Linked DNA regions of Arabidopsis thaliana. The protein of the gene in region 3 interacts with the protein of the main gene of each other region in a pairwise test. Each region holds a gene or a part of one and is shown on either strand. Other genes may lie near its edges.

The links.
Region 1: the proteins of HAI1 (region 3) and NAC3 interact in a two-hybrid assay, tested with the Arabidopsis thaliana proteins (one large-scale study listed by BioGRID).
Region 2: the proteins of HAI1 (region 3) and AO interact in a two-hybrid assay, tested with the Arabidopsis thaliana proteins (one large-scale study listed by BioGRID).
Region 4: the proteins of HAI1 (region 3) and AT1G22190 interact in a two-hybrid assay, tested with the Arabidopsis thaliana proteins (one large-scale study listed by BioGRID).

What each region holds. Positions count from the first base shown.
Region 1 is NC_003074.8:5,232,705-5,236,746, reverse strand, and holds NAC3 (NAC domain containing protein 3), read right to left. Parts: upstream 2,291-4,042; 5' UTR 2,017-2,290; coding exon 1,836-2,016; intron 1,743-1,835; coding exon 1,474-1,742; intron 1,369-1,473; coding exon 865-1,368; 3' UTR 551-864; downstream 1-550. UniProt on the Arabidopsis thaliana protein: Transcription factors that bind specifically to the 5'-CATGTG-3' motif.
Region 2 is NC_003076.8:4,766,591-4,772,684, forward strand, and holds AO (L-aspartate oxidase), read left to right. Parts: upstream 1-1,672; 5' UTR 1,673-2,152; intron 2,153-2,525; 5' UTR 2,526-2,542; coding exon 2,543-2,670; intron 2,671-2,849; coding exon 2,850-3,201; intron 3,202-3,330; coding exon 3,331-3,573; intron 3,574-3,655; coding exon 3,656-3,712; intron 3,713-3,796; coding exon 3,797-3,877; intron 3,878-4,252; coding exon 4,253-4,314; intron 4,315-4,389; coding exon 4,390-5,422; 3' UTR 5,423-5,563; downstream 5,564-6,094. UniProt on the Arabidopsis thaliana protein: Catalyzes the oxidation of L-aspartate to iminoaspartate. Can complement nadB-deficient E.coli mutant. Plays a role in stomatal immunity.
Region 3 is NC_003076.8:23,893,824-23,898,888, reverse strand, and holds HAI1 (PP2C protein (Clade A protein phosphatases type 2C)), read left to right. Parts: upstream 1-1,949; 5' UTR 1,950-2,391; coding exon 2,392-2,868; intron 2,869-2,951; coding exon 2,952-3,254; intron 3,255-3,623; coding exon 3,624-3,729; coding exon of another isoform or gene 3,730-3,752; exon of another isoform or gene 3,753-3,861; coding exon 3,862-4,217; 3' UTR 4,218-4,485; downstream 4,486-5,065. UniProt on the Arabidopsis thaliana protein: Acts as a negative regulator of abscisic acid (ABA) signaling for stomatal closure in leaves, and controls water loss during leaf senescence. Activated by the NAC029/NAP transcription factor during ABA signaling in senescing leaves.
Region 4 is NC_003070.9:7,834,068-7,837,937, forward strand, and holds AT1G22190 (Integrase-type DNA-binding superfamily protein), read left to right. Parts: upstream 1-1,713; 5' UTR 1,714-2,177; coding exon 2,178-2,963; 3' UTR 2,964-3,344; downstream 3,345-3,870. Other genes in the region: AT1G22200 (Endoplasmic reticulum vesicle transporter protein), read right to left, coding at 3,790-3,870.

The DNA.
Region 1 (4,042 bases), on a different chromosome or scaffold from region 3:
GTTCTTATCTTCAAACCCCAATTGGTCTTTAAGATTTGGCCATCTAATACCATCACTATCCTTTTCCCATTAAACAATATAACATCTTTATCCATATCCTTTTAAATATATATATATCAATTTCTCTAACAAATTTTGAACGTTCTTTAAACAGCTGTACAATATTACTATTTCAAACCTTACGGCTTGCAAATGCCATTGCACATAAATGAATATATACACAACTATCGCGTGCGAAATTTCTTTATGCCACATGTGTTTATATAAATAGTATTTTTATATTTTACAAAAGTATACTAGTGCTATAGGCTAGAAATCATCTCAGATAAACATACATTTTTGGTCATGTTCGCTATGATATGGTTACCGTCATCAGCGAAAGATGATGACAAATCTATTGTTCGTTTTAGCTGGTACTAATATTAAACGATGAGCGATAGCGAGCAAAGTCATATTCGCTTTATGGTTCCTAGATTATCGATATATTATGGCGATTAATATAATAAATTATGAATCGCTGATTCGTTGTTAATGATAATACTACATGATGTTGACACAAAAATGTGTCATGAATGATAAGGAAACTTTCACATTTCTATCGTTTATCGTTAGCAATAGCAAGTACAAAACTTATAGATCCAATGCAATATCTGTTTTTCTAATAAATAATTGATCAATACAAAAGTTCCAGCTATAAAAGTTTACAAAAATGTAAATGTCAGGACAAATGACGACGAATATACAATACAAGTCGTAGAACCTAAATCTAACCCTAGAGTTCGAATTCTACGCTATATTAATTAACTAATCTGACACGGACAAAAAATAAAAATATGTTTTTCTTATTACGTTACCATTACACAATCAAATAAACCCGAACCCACTAGATTGTTGACCCGAGTACCCAAATCCGTTAACCGGGTCAACACTAAAACCCTGATTAGCCGAGACGTCCGAGTTATTATTAAACCGAGGAATCCCCTCAGTTTGTTGCTGCGTTCCACCGTCACCGTAACGAATACTCGGAACGTTATGACTCAGTCCGAGTTCCGGGACCGAGTTCTGTCCAATCAAATTCGCCCAATCAAAACTTGGCTCCCTGGCTAAACCCTGAAACCCGGTTTTATGATTGGTTAAAACCGGTCTATGACTATGAGGCAGCGCGTTTGATGAACCGGCGGCAAACCCCAAACTTCTGTTGTCAATCTCATGCAACGACTCGAGAACGTCGTCGTATTGATGAGACGAAGAAGATGTCGACGAACCATTGTTGCTGTATTCACGACCACTCGTCATTAGATTATTGTAAGCTTGTTTTTGTGCGCTTGTTTGCTTTTTGTATATTCGACATAAAACCCAATCATCAAGCTGAACATAAAAACAGTTTAAAATATGTTATTCGTTGAACAGTATAATTACAATTACTATATACTTATCTTTTTGGATACATCATGTATTTAACTAAATTTATACCTTGGTGCTTCCATTTCGACGAGAGGGTTCGATGAGACGGTACTCATGCATAATCCAATTGGTTTTGGTTCCTTTTGGAGCTTTTCCAATGTAAAACACCAAAGCTTTCTTGATACCAACTCTTCTTCCCTCCGTCGAGATAACTTTATCCGTACCGGTGGCTTTCCAATAACCCGACCCGGCAACCCGATTAGGTCTTGACCCGTTTGGATACTTCCTATCCCTCGGGCTGAAAAAATACCATTCTTTTTCACCGAATAACGCCTTACCTACAAAGAACCAAAAAGACAAGTTAGAAGAGAAAAAAACATAACTAGCTACAAAGAAACCAAACACGGTTAAGGTTATTAGGTTATACGTACTTGGTAAAACCCATGGATCAAACTTGTAGAGATCGATTTCAGCTATGAGCTGGAGAGAGAAGTCGTGACCGGCGGCTTTTCTACAGAGATATTCAACCATCAGCTCTTCGTCAGTCGGATAAAACCGAAAACCCGGCGGTAAGCTCAATTGGGCTAACGGGTCAAGCTCTTGGAGACCCATTTTTCCTATCACCTCTTTCTCTAGGACAAAGAAAATATCTGCACTTTTTATAGAAAACAATCACAAAACTATCTTCTTTGATTTTCTTTTTTGTATTCTGAGATTAAAGATTTCGAAGCTCTGCTACTCGTGTATGTATATATATAATATAATATTACACCGCCGCCCAATCTTCGTTAACGTGCAGCCTCAATACGGGTCCCACTTTATGTTTATCATGACACGTGGATCAATTAGAGCGTCGTGATTTATGCGATCCCTTTGGTTCTTTGAACCTATACCATAAAGTTGATTATTTATATTAGTAATGTTGTAATATTGTGTGTGTGACTGTACCTCCTCTTATGATTTTTTTTTTGTATTGTCAATGGTCTTCCCAAGTATTAGGGAGTTAACTGAAAGTAATTTGCGAATATTTGTAAGTTCAGAAAAACAAATTAGGTGATTCTTAAGACTAGTGATTTTTCATGCAATTTACGCGGTAAATTTCTATGAATGAGTTACATAACAGTGACAATCTACGAAAAGTATTATGAAAAATAAGAAGTATTTTTTTTTTAATGGGTATGTGCCAAATTGTTTTTTTTTGGTCGTCAAGAAGAAAAAACACGTGTAAGTGAATGATGGGATGAGTTCACTGGATGGTAACATGGAAAGCGTTTTTCATACGGATAGAACTACCACAAGCCGACACATGTCTTGTGTCTATTGGTTGAGTTAGGCGGGATATTTTTCTTTCGTCAAAAGCCGTTAAAGATCAGAGAGAGGGACAAACAACAAACACGAGTTGATGATGCAGACTCTCGTTATTTTTCTATTTGATCCATATGAGACTGTAATTTTTGATTGAAATCAGATGAAACTGTAATTGTGAAACGATAGTATACAATCAGAGGTACCAAGAAATTAGGCTTTTGTGGTTGAGAAATGGGAACACAAGATTTTCGTAAGTCCGTATAACACAAACACGCTTCTCTTCAAACACTTTTTTGTGTACGTGAAAAAGGAACATTTTACCAATTGAAAATAAAGTTCAATTACAATTTTCTTGCAAGTAGATTTATATTTAACCAATTTATGGCGGTTTATTGATTAACATATTTATTTAAGCATTCGAGAACGTACGTGATTTCAATCATGATTAACATAGTTGAGCTTTGATTCATGGTTCTCGATTTTTTTTTAAAATAGGTAAAACAGGAATCTTAGTTAGAAGTCAGATCGTTTATCAGCAAATTTATCGTAGATATATCATATATGTATGTAAGTTTAGGCTTTTTTTTTTTTTTTCTTATTCATTGAATTTTTTGGCTTTCTACTGATAGTTTTTTCTCGGTAAAAAGTTAATTAGCAAACTAGTAGCCCAAAAAATGAAAAATAAAGTTAATTAGCTAACTTTAATTGATATCTTGTGATCACATGTACATGGTGCTGTAAAAATAATTCTAAGCGAATATAACAAGGAATTTGGGGTTTCTTACACTCAATATCTTTCGTGTCACGGTGCATTTGGTGTTAATTCGTTTCTATTTATAATGGTTCTCTTCCATTAAAGATACATCAATTGGTATAGAACGGGGTGATCAAAGTTTTTTTAAAAGCTTTTGTTCTTCTCCTTTTCGGGATTTTTTTGTTAATGTTGGAAGATAATATCCACACACAGGTCTTTAGTTTTAGATAACTAATTAACATTATGCTATTTTAGCGATGTCATGCATATATCATAACGTGTATGTCATGCATATATCATAATTACATAACGTGTAACCCCGTAAATTTGGGTCAAAATACAAAAGTGTATTAAGAATTGATGACGTGGATATCAAGGTGGTATAAGTTTCAACTTTTGACATGTGAGTTTAGTTAATGGTTTGCTGAATAAACCATATGGCTAAACCAATAAACTTCCAATAATAATATGAATATCACACTTATTACAACTTAACCTCAATCTTCCTATATAAAATCAAAGTGCGCCAATGAAATTCGAACTCGAATGCTTTACATTGTAATGGTATAATTATTT
Region 2 (6,094 bases), about 19 Mb from region 3:
ATTTGATGGACCTAAGTACCTAACACTCATTTATTCACAATCTTATCATTTAATTTTGTTTGATTCTAATATCAGGTTTGATATTCTATACATGGCCAAGGAATTTGTGATTCACAAGTTTACCATCTTTTCAAAATCATGTAATGATTTATGCTACGAACTAAATGATATATTTAAATAGACTTTATTTATGTTAATTATATAATATGATAAATATAGCTAATTCTTATTGATACTAATTATATTGTTGAGGTTCTATCATTAATTTACGTGGTGAAACTGCAATTTGATTTGCGGAAATGATCTTATATCATTAGAAGGAACAACTAGGACACTGCTCTTTTACATATGTGCGAGTTTTACCAATAAGATATTGACTAACTACGAGACGAACATTAGTATTTGCTAATGTGTTTCGCTGATTTTCTAGGTTTTAGTCGTGACGTGAAATTCAGTAAGAAGCACAACGAAATGCCATCGGCTCATGTGTGTGAAAAAATTAAAAATTTATGGGCTGAACAATTCTAATTGCATGATGATTCGGGTTTAATTTAGGCCTCTGGAAAATCCAGGGCTTATTTCCATGCAAAATCTTAGGTCAGTATTGGGCCCGCCTTTCAAAAGCCCAATTTTAATTATTCGTTTTTGTTGTCCGATAAAAAATCCAGAAGAAGTCATCTCTCCCCTTAAAAACGGTAGTCAAAACTAAAAGACTCAAAGTGATTTCCAGTAAGTTTTGTAGAAAATAAAATAATTGTGGCCATTGGAGATTTAGCAAGGCTCATGGAAAAGTGATTGTTCTTTTTTCCCCATGATTCTAGTTATAAGGCCATCCTTGATGCATACATCAACACCATGACTGGTCCAAAATAGCATAGGTCTAAAGATGATGAAGCAAATGATAATCAGTTTATTCCGATAGAAGCAAATGAGGATGTCATCAATTGTGGATGTTATACCTGATTAGTTAAGCAAACCATTAGCACTATGTTTAGTTAGAAAAGAAGGAAATTATGATAGCCATAAAAATGCCAACATTTTCCCTTTTAAATTGCATTCGTGGTTTTTGAAATTTTATTATTTAATTAATTTGTTTTCTTTCAGTTGTCATTTGAATGGTTATCATAATTCGGTCTTATATTATTGATTTTTATTATTCGTTAGGTTTTTTTCAGTTGTCTGATGGAAAATTCAGAAGCCACCACTTACAAATCAAAAGTATAAAAAAAGACTCAAAAGAAGACTCCAAAATCCAAATAGTTTTTCTCCATTTTTTTTTTCTTTTTCCAGAAATTATAGTTATAGAAATAAATAGTTGTGGCCGTTGGAGATTTGCATTGGCCACGAGTCATGGAAAAGTGAATGTTCTTTTTCCATGATTCTTCTAGTCGGTCATGCTTGGTGCATGTATGAACACATATTTAAAGTTCTATACAAGTTGTTAGAATTCTTTTAAATTTAATTTGCTTTATTTATTTTTTTAGTTTTAGTTTTGGAAAATCATGGTCACACATCTTGAGCTACCGTTGTTATTTATATATAAATGTTCTTAATATTAAAAAATTATGAACCACAGGGCTAATAAACTTGAATATTTGTAGGGTCAATGGCTTTATTAATGTGTATATTTGTAGAAGAAAGCTGGGAAATATTCTATAAGTAAATTATCATCTTATACACTAATTTTTTAAAAATCCACGCCTAGTAATAAATTCCAATTTTTTTTAACTCAGTAATAAATTCCATTTTTTATTAAAAGTTTATTTCATAGAAGTACTTTTTTTTTTATGTGATAAAAGAAAAACTGAAGAAGGCCAATGAAAAATGAAGATCCCAAAGACATAAAAAGTGACAAAAGAGAAGAATAAAGAAAGACCAACAACACCACTTGGGGGAGGCTCCCATACACAAAACGAAGGCGCGAATTTCAAGGACTCTTCTCGACGACCAAACCACATAAAACACTCTTACCAGAATTTGTGTTGTCTTCGTTCATTTCCTTCTCCTCTTCTTCTTCTTCTTCGTCGTAATTTTGATTGTTTCTTTGCGAAAAGTCGTTTTTTTAATCAAGTCTGAATCACGTTTTATTGATCTACACTCGCGTGGGTTCTCCGTTTCGTGCTTAGATCAGAGAGCTCCCTCCCGTGATTCCGTAAGATTTCTGCGTTTCTCATTACTTGGTTTCATTTCAACGTAGATTCTGAATTTTGTGTGATCTAGTCTACACATTTTTTTTTAATTCTTTCCTCTGCTCCTAAATTCCAGAATTCAGACAACGGTTGCGATATTTCTTATGTCTTTTTTTCTATCGTTGTTCATTTCAGAAGTTTCGATATAAAAAAGGTTATTGTTGGATTTTGAGTAACACATTGTCCTCAATTCTCATCGTTCTTCAATCAAATTTTGGATTTTGAGCATCATGGATGATGGATCTATGCATTTTGATTTTATATTGTACAGAAAGAATGTTTCTTGTTTTGTTTTGATGATGTTTTCTTATGACAACAATCTTCATGTTTTTGTAGGAGCTTTAAGGTCGGAAATGGCGGCTCATGTTTCTACTGGAAACATTCATAATTTCTATCTTGCGGGGCAGGTTTACAGGGGACAAGCTTTTTCATGGAGTTCTGCTTCTACTTTCATGGCAAATCCATTCAAAGAGCCCTCTTGGTATCACTTCTTTTAATCTTTAATCCCAAATTTTGTCCCTTTTGTGTAGCAATTGGCATTTTGAGGTTCATGTTTCTCATTTATGATTTTGCTCTTTGTTCTCATGTAGAACTTTAACTAGTTAGACCTATAGTTTCTCATGCTGGACTCAAACTTTTATAATCTCTGTGTGCATATAGGTCAAGTGGGGTATTTAAGGCTCTAAAAGCTGAGAGATGTGGTTGTTACTCTCGTGGTATTTCCCCCATCAGTGAGACCTCAAAACCTATCAGGGCTGTTTCGGTATCTTCTTCAACAAAGTATTATGATTTCACTGTGATTGGTAGTGGAGTAGCGGGTCTGCGTTATGCTTTAGAAGTTGCAAAGCAAGGAACAGTCGCAGTGATTACCAAAGATGAGCCTCATGAGAGTAACACAAACTATGCTCAAGGTGGTGTTAGTGCTGTGTTATGCCCTTTGGATTCTGTTGAAAGTCATATGCGGGACACTATGGTCGCTGGTGCTCATCTTTGTGATGAAGAAACCGTAAGAGTAAGTTCCCTTTGTTGCTGATCATTACCTCAAAACTGTTTGATAAGTGCTTGTGTTAGTCTCGTGCATAAGCATTTTGTAATGGTCTAAACCTGTCTCACTTTTCTGTATCTGAATGTTCTTTTTCAGGTTGTGTGTACTGAAGGGCCTGAAAGGATTCGTGAACTGATTGCAATGGGAGCATCATTTGATCACGGCGAGGATGGAAATTTGCATTTGGCCAGAGAGGGTGGTCACTCGCATTGTAGGATCGTTCACGCTGCTGATATGACAGGAAGAGAGATTGAGAGAGCTTTACTTGAAGCTGTACTTAATGATCCCAACATATCTGTCTTCAAACACCATTTTGCAATCGATCTGCTCACTTCTCAGGTTCCACTTCACACCCTTGAAAAACACATGTGCATATATGATCAATTGGCTTATCAGATCATATCTTTTTGTATCTTAACAGGATGGCTTGAACACAGTTTGTCATGGTGTGGACACTTTGAATATCAAAACTAATGAGGTACACAAAGATCTTGTTTCTGGTGGTTTGATCATTCACCTTATATCTTAGATTGTAATGTAAAAAAAACTCATGTTTCTTCAGGTAGTACGCTTTATATCGAAGGTGACATTGCTTGCTTCAGGTGGAGCTGGGCATATCTATCCATCAACCACAAATCCTCTGGTAACATTTTCTATAGACTCTCTTTTTAACAAAGCTCTATGGAAGTTTCATTTTACCAATTTTATCAGAAGAAAGAATGTGCAGGATCAACACAACAGTTTTGTGTGTTTATGGGAAATATCCAAAAATGAAACTTTGATTAAGTAATGTGATTTATCCCTTGAATACAAAAGAAAATGTCGAAATTATCACGGGTATACACAAACATACTGCATTAGAGTTTTAGATTTAATAGTTCAAACAGTTGCAGAAACAAAGAGATTTTAGTCATAGAGTACATTTTTTTGCTAAATTCGGTTGTGCTAGTCGCAATGATATTTCTCTAAAAGTGATATATTATGCTCCATTTTAATTATCGACATGGTTTTTGTATAGGTGGCTACTGGAGATGGGATGGCGATGGCTCATCGAGCTCAAGCTGTGATCTCAAATATGGAGTAAGTGAACACCGAAAAACCGACTGAAGAAACTTGTTGACAATAAACTTATGTTTTGTATTTGTTTTTGGTTAGATTTGTGCAGTTTCATCCTACTGCCCTAGCCGACGAAGGTCTTCCCATCAAACTACAAACTGCTAGGGAAAACGCGTTCCTCATCACCGAGGCGGTGAGAGGTGATGGTGGCATCCTCTATAATCTAGGAATGGAGCGATTCATGCCTGTTTACGATGAACGAGCTGAGCTTGCTCCAAGAGACGTGGTTGCAAGAAGTATTGATGACCAGCTTAAGAAACGAAACGAAAAGTATGTGTTACTTGACATAAGCCATAAGCCAAGAGAAAAGATTCTTGCCCATTTCCCGAACATAGCTTCTGAATGTCTTAAACACGGTCTGGATATCACCCGTCAGCCTATTCCGGTTGTCCCTGCAGCCCATTACATGTGTGGAGGAGTTCGTGCTGGTTTACAAGGCGAAACCAATGTCCTTGGATTGTTTGTAGCAGGTGAAGTAGCATGTACAGGCCTCCACGGGGCAAATCGTCTTGCTAGTAACTCGCTTTTAGAAGCTCTGGTTTTCGCGAGACGGGCTGTTCAGCCTTCGACTGAGCTCATGAAACGCACAAGACTTGATGTATGCGCATCAGAGAAATGGACAAGGCCTGTTGTTGCGACAGCTAGATTGCTAGGAGATGAAGTAATAGCAAAGATTATAGCTTTGACTAAAGAAGTGAGAAGAGAGCTTCAGGAGGTAATGTGGAAGTATGTTGGTATTGTCAGATCGACAATTCGGCTCACCACTGCTGAGAGGAAAATCGCAGAGCTAGAAGCAAAATGGGAAACATTTTTGTTTGAACATGGATGGGAACAAACAGTGGTAGCTCTTGAAGCTTGTGAGATGAGAAACTTGTTCTGTTGCGCTAAGCTTGTGGTGAGCAGCGCGTTAGCTAGACATGAAAGCAGAGGTCTTCATTACATGACAGACTTTCCTTTTGTGGAAGAAAGCAAGCGGATTCCGACGATTATTCTACCGTCTTCTCCTACAACAGCTAGTTGGAGCTCAAGGCGGTTACAGAATATAAGTAGCAGCTCACTTATTGATTGCTAAAACTGCAGGAGTTTTTGTTCTTATTTGAATCCAAACCTCTCTGATTATTGTATCAATTTGAAAAAATTTGGATCTCAAAAGGAATCTCTGATTCTGACACTCTGTAATACAAAAGGAAATAAATTATTCATTTGAGATATCAATCATATTGGTAATTCATATTTCAATTCCTTTGTTATGGTTTATTGATGACTTTCTGAATGAAAGAAACAACTGTGAGTGTGGATTTCCCAAGCAAGAAGCAGGATTGAGAACAGTCTTGTGTTCACTGACTCCATATCCTCGGTTCCTTTTTTTTCTGAGTAAATCATTCCAAAAGCTTCTATCCTTCTCCTGAGGAAATCACGAGCTCCAAGCTCGGGTATGGCTTCCATGACCAGACCAAACATGAATTCATTCTTCCTGTCTTCTTCAACTAGACCAGGGTGTGATCTGAGAAGGCTGCACAAAGGCACATCCATTAATAATCAGAGATCTCTTCTGCAATGTCGCTTTAGAACAGCCTAGTTACTAGTTACATCCAGAAACCAGCTAGATCATAAGTCTTGCCTGCTCTGCAGCTGCCATCGCCGTTCTGCTACAATGAAATTCAAAGGGTATTTTCAGGAGATAGTTTTGGCTCGTGCAATTTGATTTAACAAAGAATAAAGATATCCTGAATTACAATGTGAA
Region 3 (5,065 bases):
AGTGATGGTTAGTGACTTGTTGGTCGATGACGAATTTGTTTTCAGGTTAAATTTTAATAATAATAATATTTGAAAGAAAGATGAAGCTTTCACGTGGCACAATGTATTTGCCTACTGTCAACTTCAAAAACCTGGCAACTGCTATGCAGCTTCAGAGGACACGTGTCATGTGTTACACACGCGCTTCGTTTTTTTTCAACCTTTTGATTTTGTTTTGTTCTGTGATGTGGGACTCACATAATTCAAATCATCATCCTATTGCTTGCCGCCACGTCCCAGAGAATTTTCCGCGAAAAGCTGAGCTTCTCTCTTTCTTTCCTTAATTTTAGTTAGGTTATGAATTATTTTTGTATTAATACTAACTAACTAAAATATCATCATCACATTACATAAACATAAGATTCATCGGCGTAACGTAAGTAACAGTTAAAGCCCAAATTACAACTCTCGATCCTACTTAATGCATAGTAAACGAATGTTGACACAGAAAAAATCTTGGTCAAGACATAAAAGTAGAGAATGTAAACACGTGTCGAACATCGAGGAAGAAAACAGGTCAGAGAGGGGTCAACGTTGTTAAATGTTAGTAATAGAGAAGTGGTCCCCAGTTTCCACCAAAACCCATCTACGTACTTGTATCTCATTGGATGTCATTCCTGATTGATTTAGAATTGAAAACGTTATATTTTGTTTATTTCTAATTGTTGATTGAATATCTTATAATTTTTGCCCACAAAAGAAAATTATAAGTGTATAATATATAGTTCACTCGAATTTAACATGTCCATTGTCCAATGTAGAACGTATGATCATTTCTGTTTTTCAGTTGCTTTTATTTTAAATTCCCAAAAACCCAATATTGTGTCAAACATTGGAGAATGATGTTCACTTTTATTGTATTCACAAAATGCTACTTATCAACTAAGAAAATTGTAATGTCAAACATAAGATGGTGATATTTTAAAAATAGATGTAAAATTAGTTTAGAACTGTCTGATAAGTCATAAGATTGCACGATTATAAATCATTGAATATTCCGGACACTTGTCAAGATTAAAACCATGAATAAGTTTTCAAATTCATTTTCATCATCTCAATTGTAAAACTAGGTAAGATATCCTTTAAAATCTTTGAATATTAGTTCCCCGGCCCATATAAAATCTCTTAAATATATTTATTTGAAAACTCTGACTGTTTGCACTTGCAGCATAAAAAAAGGGATGAAACAAATGGAACAAATGCAGAACAAAACTAATAGACCAGACAAGTAAAACAAACGAAACAAAACAAGTGTTGAAATGATAACTCACAAATTTGAACTTACTTTTCTAGCAAATAAGAAATTGTTCTAATTAAAAAAAAAAGCATATGCAGTCTCAAATTGTTTCTAAGAAGTATTCACGCACCAAGGTTATATTTGTAGTGACATATTCTACAATTATCACATTTTTCTCTTATGTTTCGTAGTCGCAGATGGTCAATTTTTTCTATAATAATTTGTCCTTGAACACACCAAACTTTAGAAACGATGATATATACCGTATTGTCACGCTCACAATGAAACAAACGCGATGAATCGTCATCACCAGCTAAAAGCCTAAAACACCATCTTAGTTTTCACTCAGATAAAAAGATTATTTGTTTCCAACCTTTCTATTGAATTGATTAGCAGTGATGACGTAATTAGTGATAGTTTATAGTAAAACAAATGGAAGTGGTAATAAATTTACACAACAAAATATGGTAAGAATCTATAAAATAAGAGGTTAAGAGATCTCATGTTATATTAAATGATTGAAAGAAAAACAAACTATTGGTTGATTTCCATATGTAATAGTAAGTTGTGATGAAAGTGATGACGTAATTAGTTGTATTTATAGTAAAACAAATTAAAATGGTAAGGTAAATTTCCACAACAAAACTTGGTAAAAATCTTAAAAAAAAAAAAAGAGGTTTAGAGATCGCATGCGTGTCATCAAAGGTTCTTTTTCACTTTAGGTCTGAGTAGTGTTAGACTTTGATTGGTGCACGTAAGTGTTTCGTATCGCGATTTAGGAGAAGTACGTTTTACACGTGGACACAATCAACGGTCAAGATTTCGTCGTCCAGATAGAGGAGCGATACGTCACGCCATTCAACAATCTCCTCTTCTTCATTCCTTCATTTTGATTTTGAGTTTTGATCTGCCCGTTCAAAAGTCTCGGTCATCTGCCCGTAAATATAAAGATGATTATATTTATTTATATCTTCTGGTGAAAGAAGCTAATATAAAGCTTCCATGGCTAATCTTGTTTAAGCTTCTCTTCTTCTTCTCTCTCCTGTGTCTCGTTCACTAGTTTTTTTTCGGGGGAGAGTGATGGAGTGTGTTTGTTGAATAGTTTTGACGATCACATGGCTGAGATTTGTTACGAGAACGAGACTATGATGATTGAAACGACGGCGACGGTGGTGAAGAAGGCAACGACGACAACGAGGAGACGAGAACGGAGCTCGTCTCAAGCAGCGAGAAGAAGGAGAATGGAGATCCGGAGGTTTAAGTTTGTTTCCGGCGAACAAGAACCTGTCTTCGTCGACGGTGACTTACAGAGGCGGAGGAGAAGAGAATCCACCGTCGCAGCCTCCACCTCCACCGTGTTTTACGAAACGGCGAAGGAAGTTGTCGTCCTATGCGAGTCTCTTAGTTCAACGGTTGTGGCATTGCCTGATCCTGAAGCTTATCCTAAATACGGCGTCGCTTCAGTCTGTGGAAGAAGACGTGAAATGGAAGACGCCGTCGCTGTGCATCCGTTTTTTTCCCGTCATCAGACGGAATATTCATCCACCGGATTTCACTATTGCGGCGTTTACGATGGCCATGGCTGTTCCCATGTACGACGTCGTTTTATTATAAAAATTATCCTTTAATTGACCGTTACGACGTCGGTTTTTAATTTTAATAATATGATGTTTAGGTAGCGATGAAATGTAGAGAAAGACTACACGAGCTAGTCCGTGAAGAGTTTGAAGCTGATGCTGACTGGGAAAAGTCAATGGCGCGTAGCTTCACGCGCATGGACATGGAGGTTGTTGCGTTGAACGCCGATGGTGCGGCAAAATGCCGGTGCGAGCTTCAGAGGCCGGACTGCGACGCGGTGGGATCCACTGCGGTTGTGTCTGTCCTTACGCCGGAGAAAATCATCGTGGCGAATTGCGGTGACTCACGTGCCGTTCTCTGTCGTAACGGCAAAGCCATTGCTTTATCCTCCGATCATAAGGTTTTGTTCGTTTTTTGATAATCTCTCTTGTTTCGTTTATCCATCGTTAAATGTTTATCCGTTAGATCTACGGTTATGGTTTACTCACTGTAATGAAACGAGAATTTCGTTACGTGTTGCGTTCGAAACTTACCTATTAATATTGTTTAATGCATTTTTTATTTATTATTTCATTTATTGGAAATTAGAATCTTCTTTAATGTGCATGCAACACCTGGACGACGATTAAGAATGTTTAATGACTTTTTACTTTTTAGATAGAGGATCTGATAAAGTTTATGAGTTTTAAGATTCTTTAATCCTTCGTGTCACTGTTATCAATGACTATATCATTCTCTCTCTCTCTCTTGTTTAAATTTGTTGTAACAGCCAGACCGTCCGGACGAGCTAGACCGGATTCAAGCAGCGGGTGGTCGTGTTATCTACTGGGATGGCCCACGTGTCCTTGGAGTACTTGCAATGTCACGAGCCATTGGTCAGTTAATTGATTACACTTGACGAAAACACTCTTGTCCCTATCCTAATGTTTGTACAAAGTTTTTCCGTACTTTCAATAATGATGATTATTAACTCTCGTTTCGCCGCGGATTTTTTTTTTTTTTTTCAGGAGATAATTACTTGAAGCCGTATGTAATCAGCAGACCGGAGGTAACCGTGACGGACCGGGCCAACGGAGACGATTTTCTTATTCTCGCAAGTGACGGTCTTTGGGACGTTGTTTCAAACGAAACTGCATGTAGCGTCGTTCGAATGTGTTTGAGAGGAAAAGTCAATGGTCAAGTATCATCATCACCGGAAAGGGAAATGACAGGTGTCGGCGCCGGGAATGTGGTGGTTGGAGGAGGAGATTTGCCAGATAAAGCGTGTGAGGAGGCGTCGCTGTTGCTGACGAGGCTTGCGTTGGCTAGACAAAGTTCGGACAACGTAAGTGTTGTGGTGGTTGATCTACGACGAGACACGTAGTTGTATTTGTCTCTCTCGTAATGTTTGTTGTTTTTTGTCCTGAGTCATCGACTTTTGGGCTTTTTCTTTTAACCTTTTTTGCTCTTCGGTGTAAGACAACGAAGGGTTTTTAATTTAGCTTGACTATGGGTTATGTCAGTCACTGTGTTGAATCGCGGTTTAGATCTACAAAGATTTTCACCAGTAGTGAAAATGGTAAAAAGCCGTGAAATGTGAAAGACTTGAGTTCAATTTAATTTTAAATTTAATAGAATCAGTTGATCATAACAAAATCTTACCTTTTTAAATTTATTTTTTGTTATATATAGGACGATGTTTATAGGAATATTAGAAATGTTAGACTGATATCTTTAAGAATAGGAAAAGAACCAAATATTTACTAAGGAATTTGTTTTCAAGTGTATTTTGTAACTAAACAAGGCAAACAATCGGTATAGAATACTTCAAAGGTTAATTGGGAGGATTCAATATTATAACATTTTTTTCTTATTATGTAAAACGTTTTTTTTTTTTTTTTGCCAACATAATCTATAAAACATGTTTATATAACTCTTCATCAAACGGGTATGGTTCACACTTTATCATGTGACATATTAGAAGATGTCGATCATTAAGACTGAACATTGTTTAAAGTACTTAGAAATCAAAATGATGATTCAAGCTTTGATAACTTCCAACCGTTTCCAACCGCCAAACTTTGGTAACTTTTTTAGAATCGAACTCCTAGCTATCGCCTAACGATTTTTTTGAACATTCTCGTTTTTTTTTCTTTTAAATGTCTTTGCAATTGCATAAACTGGTTTTTTTTTTTTTTTTTTTTTTTTGTCGGAAACTGGTTTTCTTTTATC
Region 4 (3,870 bases), on a different chromosome or scaffold from region 3:
AATGACACATGTCATTTTTTTGTGTGATGATGTATCATTTATATGGAGAGTGTAGGCCAATTTTCATATATATATGATTTTGAATAAAAAGAAAAATTCAAAAGGAGAAAAATAGGCAGCAAAAAGCTGTCAGTTATTACATACAGCTAAGACTTGAGTAATGATTTTGTAGTTGACTATTTCATTTCCCCTGTGGACACGCTCGGCTTACGGTTATGAAATCATGCGTTGGAGTTTTTCTTGCTTTTCCCTTTTCTCATGCGTAGAGTTTTTTTTCTTTCTTTACAATTTGTTTAACCATAGTTTTATAGGTTTGTAGCTATATGAGTGGTTAATTTATGGTCTAGCTAATTGGTCTTTTTCTTATTCAGTTTTTGCATTAAATGTAGATATCAATACTGAAAGTTGACTTTTATCAAAAATACATAACAAAGTATAAGAAAAATAACGCTTAGACAAGTTATTACACATATGCAATGTTCACCAAAGCAAGCAAGTACGAAATATACATGCATATGATAATACATGTAAACGAGATAAATCAGCATCGTAAAGATGAACTGGTAACACGGACACGAGCCATCCACATGGGTGGTACCTCCTTATGCGCGTCTTCCCTCAAAATATTGATCATTATAAAATGATGACACCATAGTCTAACCTTGCAAATTGACGCCGTATTGATTGTAGTGACATTTGTACACGATTACACGAAGCAATAAATTAAGTGATGCAACTCTATAAGATATCGTAAGATGATGAAATGTTTAATAAACTAATTAAATGGATGATATAATACGGAATTGACATTTGAGGAGTTCTCAGCCATTCATTCTAACCCTCTAGACCCTTCTTTTTTAATCTTGTATGATTTATTATCTAAATAAAAGTCTAAACCACTCATTAACATGATATCATCATTACATTGCGAGCCAAAATTATTGCTTAACAATCATGAAGTCTACGTGTGTCACATTCGGAACCTCCGAATAATTATTTTTATACTTTTTCGGTTTGATATACTTCAATATATACTATTAATTTGGATAATCTCATTCTTAATATTCTCTCAGTTCCATTTTATTGAAAATTTTCAGAAGTTTTGTTTTCGCATATATACAAAAGAATTCTAAATCTACTAGCTGGACTAGTGGACCAATTGTTGGACGCCTCTACCAAATAAATCGTAAAAATATGTTGATTTCAATTTTATCAATTTGGCTGGAATCGAAGTGCTCGTGTACATTAGTTTCAACCGCTTAGAAAGACGTCTAGCTAAATGAGTAGACAACCATTTTTTTAACTAATCTTTTAAAATTTATGGAGTTGTGTACGTCCACTCACTTCTATTTGAATAGAAAAAAGATTAATATGGTTATGGAAGAAACGTCCCATAAAGCCGGTGTGAATGTAATATAATGAAATGATTCTCCATCAAACTATGATTGTAAAATTAAAACGCTTCGATTATAGAATAAACTTGTAGAAACATTTTAACTTGTAAAAATTAACCATTCTAAAACAAAACTTGTTAAAACTCAACTTACAAACAATGTTTGATTGAAATTGAATATATATTATTTGGAGTACGTAAACATGGATGATCTTATCTGAAATAGTACATAAAATAACAAAAGAAAAAATTAATTAAACATATAAATTTGAGAAATATGAGGAGGATGGAAAAAAGAAGTCACGCCACGCCTCCTATATAAACAAGAGCCAAGCTAATGAGATAAGTGTATCGGTGAGGCTGAGAGTTATTCACTTACAAAAAAAAAAAAAAACTTGAGTGTAACCAAAAAAAAAAGTTGATATACTTTCTGGTTTTCTCCTTAACTTTTATTCTTTACAAATCCATCCCCCTTAGATCTGTTTATTTCCCGCTACTTTGATTCATTTCTGTTAGTAATCTGTCTTTCGTATAGAAGAAAACTGATTTCTTGGTTTGTATTTTCTTAAAGAGATCAATCTTTTTTTATTTTTGATCTTCTTGTGTTTTTTTTTCTTTGTAGAATTAATCGTTTGTGAGGGTATTTTTTTAATTCCCTCCTCTCAGAAATCTACACAGAGGTTTTTTATTTTATAAACCTCTTTTTCGATTTTCTTGAAAACAAAAAATCCTGTTCTTTACTTTTTTTACAAGAACAAGGGAAAAAAATTTCTTTTTATTAGAAATGACAACTTCTATGGATTTTTACAGTAACAAAACGTTTCAACAATCTGATCCATTCGGTGGTGAATTAATGGAAGCGCTTTTACCTTTTATCAAAAGCCCTTCCAACGATTCATCCGCGTTTGCGTTCTCTCTACCCGCTCCAATTTCATACGGGTCGGATCTCCACTCATTTTCTCACCATCTTAGTCCTAAACCGGTCTCAATGAAACAAACCGGTACTTCCGCGGCTAAACCGACGAAGCTATACAGAGGAGTGAGACAACGTCACTGGGGAAAATGGGTGGCTGAGATTCGTTTACCGAGGAATCGAACTCGACTTTGGCTCGGAACATTCGACACGGCGGAGGAAGCTGCTTTAGCTTATGACAAGGCGGCGTATAAGCTCCGAGGAGATTTTGCGCGGCTTAATTTCCCTGATCTCCGTCATAACGACGAGTATCAACCTCTTCAATCATCAGTCGACGCTAAGCTTGAAGCTATTTGTCAAAACTTAGCTGAGACGACGCAGAAACAGGTGAGATCAACGAAGAAGTCTTCTTCTCGGAAACGTTCATCAACCGTCGCAGTGAAACTACCGGAGGAGGACTACTCTAGCGCCGGATCTTCGCCGCTGTTAACGGAGAGTTATGGATCTGGTGGATCTTCTTCGCCGTTGTCGGAGCTGACGTTTGGTGATACGGAGGAGGAGATTCAGCCGCCGTGGAACGAGAACGCGTTGGAGAAGTATCCGTCGTACGAGATCGATTGGGATTCGATTCTTCAGTGTTCGAGTCTTGTAAATTAGATGTTGCCATAGGGGTATTTTAGGGACTTTAGAGCTCTCTGCGATGGAGTTTTTGGTCATTGCAGAGATTTTATTATTATTAAGGGGGTTTGTTATGTTAATATCAAATAAGTTTATCTACTTTGATGTTAATTAGTGTTAATCTCTGCGTCGGTCCAAGCTGTTTTTTTTTGGCATGCTTCGACCGTGTGAGATTTCTTATGTAATTTTTGTAGTTCCTTGATTTTCTTAGTTCAAGTTAAATTGGCACAAAAGAACAACGATCAAAGTAGAAGAAACTAAATTCCTTAACTATAAAAACTTGATTGGTATGAAACTGCAAAAACTCCTTCTAAATCTACAAAACATGTAACTCACTTCTCGTAATAACTAAATTCTGGAAGTGTTGCTTAGACTGTAAATGAGGAAGCATCCTGAATCAACTTTAGTGTATTTCAATCCATGGCTTTAAGCTAATCTAAGAAACCACTTTCTCTGATTATCAACAAACGTAGACACTTAAAAAAACAAGGCTTTAGTTTAATAACATAAAGCAAGATCGGTATCTTCAGATTTAGACTACACTTTAAACAAATGAGCTCAAATTAAATAGGAAAAATTAACATTCGTTTCAATCGGTGATAACAACATTTTACACTTTGTATGTTGCCTATGAAGAGATAGTGAATAGTGAAAGGCAAAGTTCAGATCCTGGAATATCTTACAGTACTACAAAATTCTTTAAATCATCGCATTGTCACAAATTCAAACCTAATGTCTAACTGTAAAACCCGTAGAGATGATTCTCCAGTAGCTGATCAAGAAAGTGTGGAGAATATCAAACAACTCAGTTGAATTTACCAATCTCCATTTTCTTCTTAATTGCTCGTTGTCCATGGTATATGAACGAATCTACTATTCCCGATAC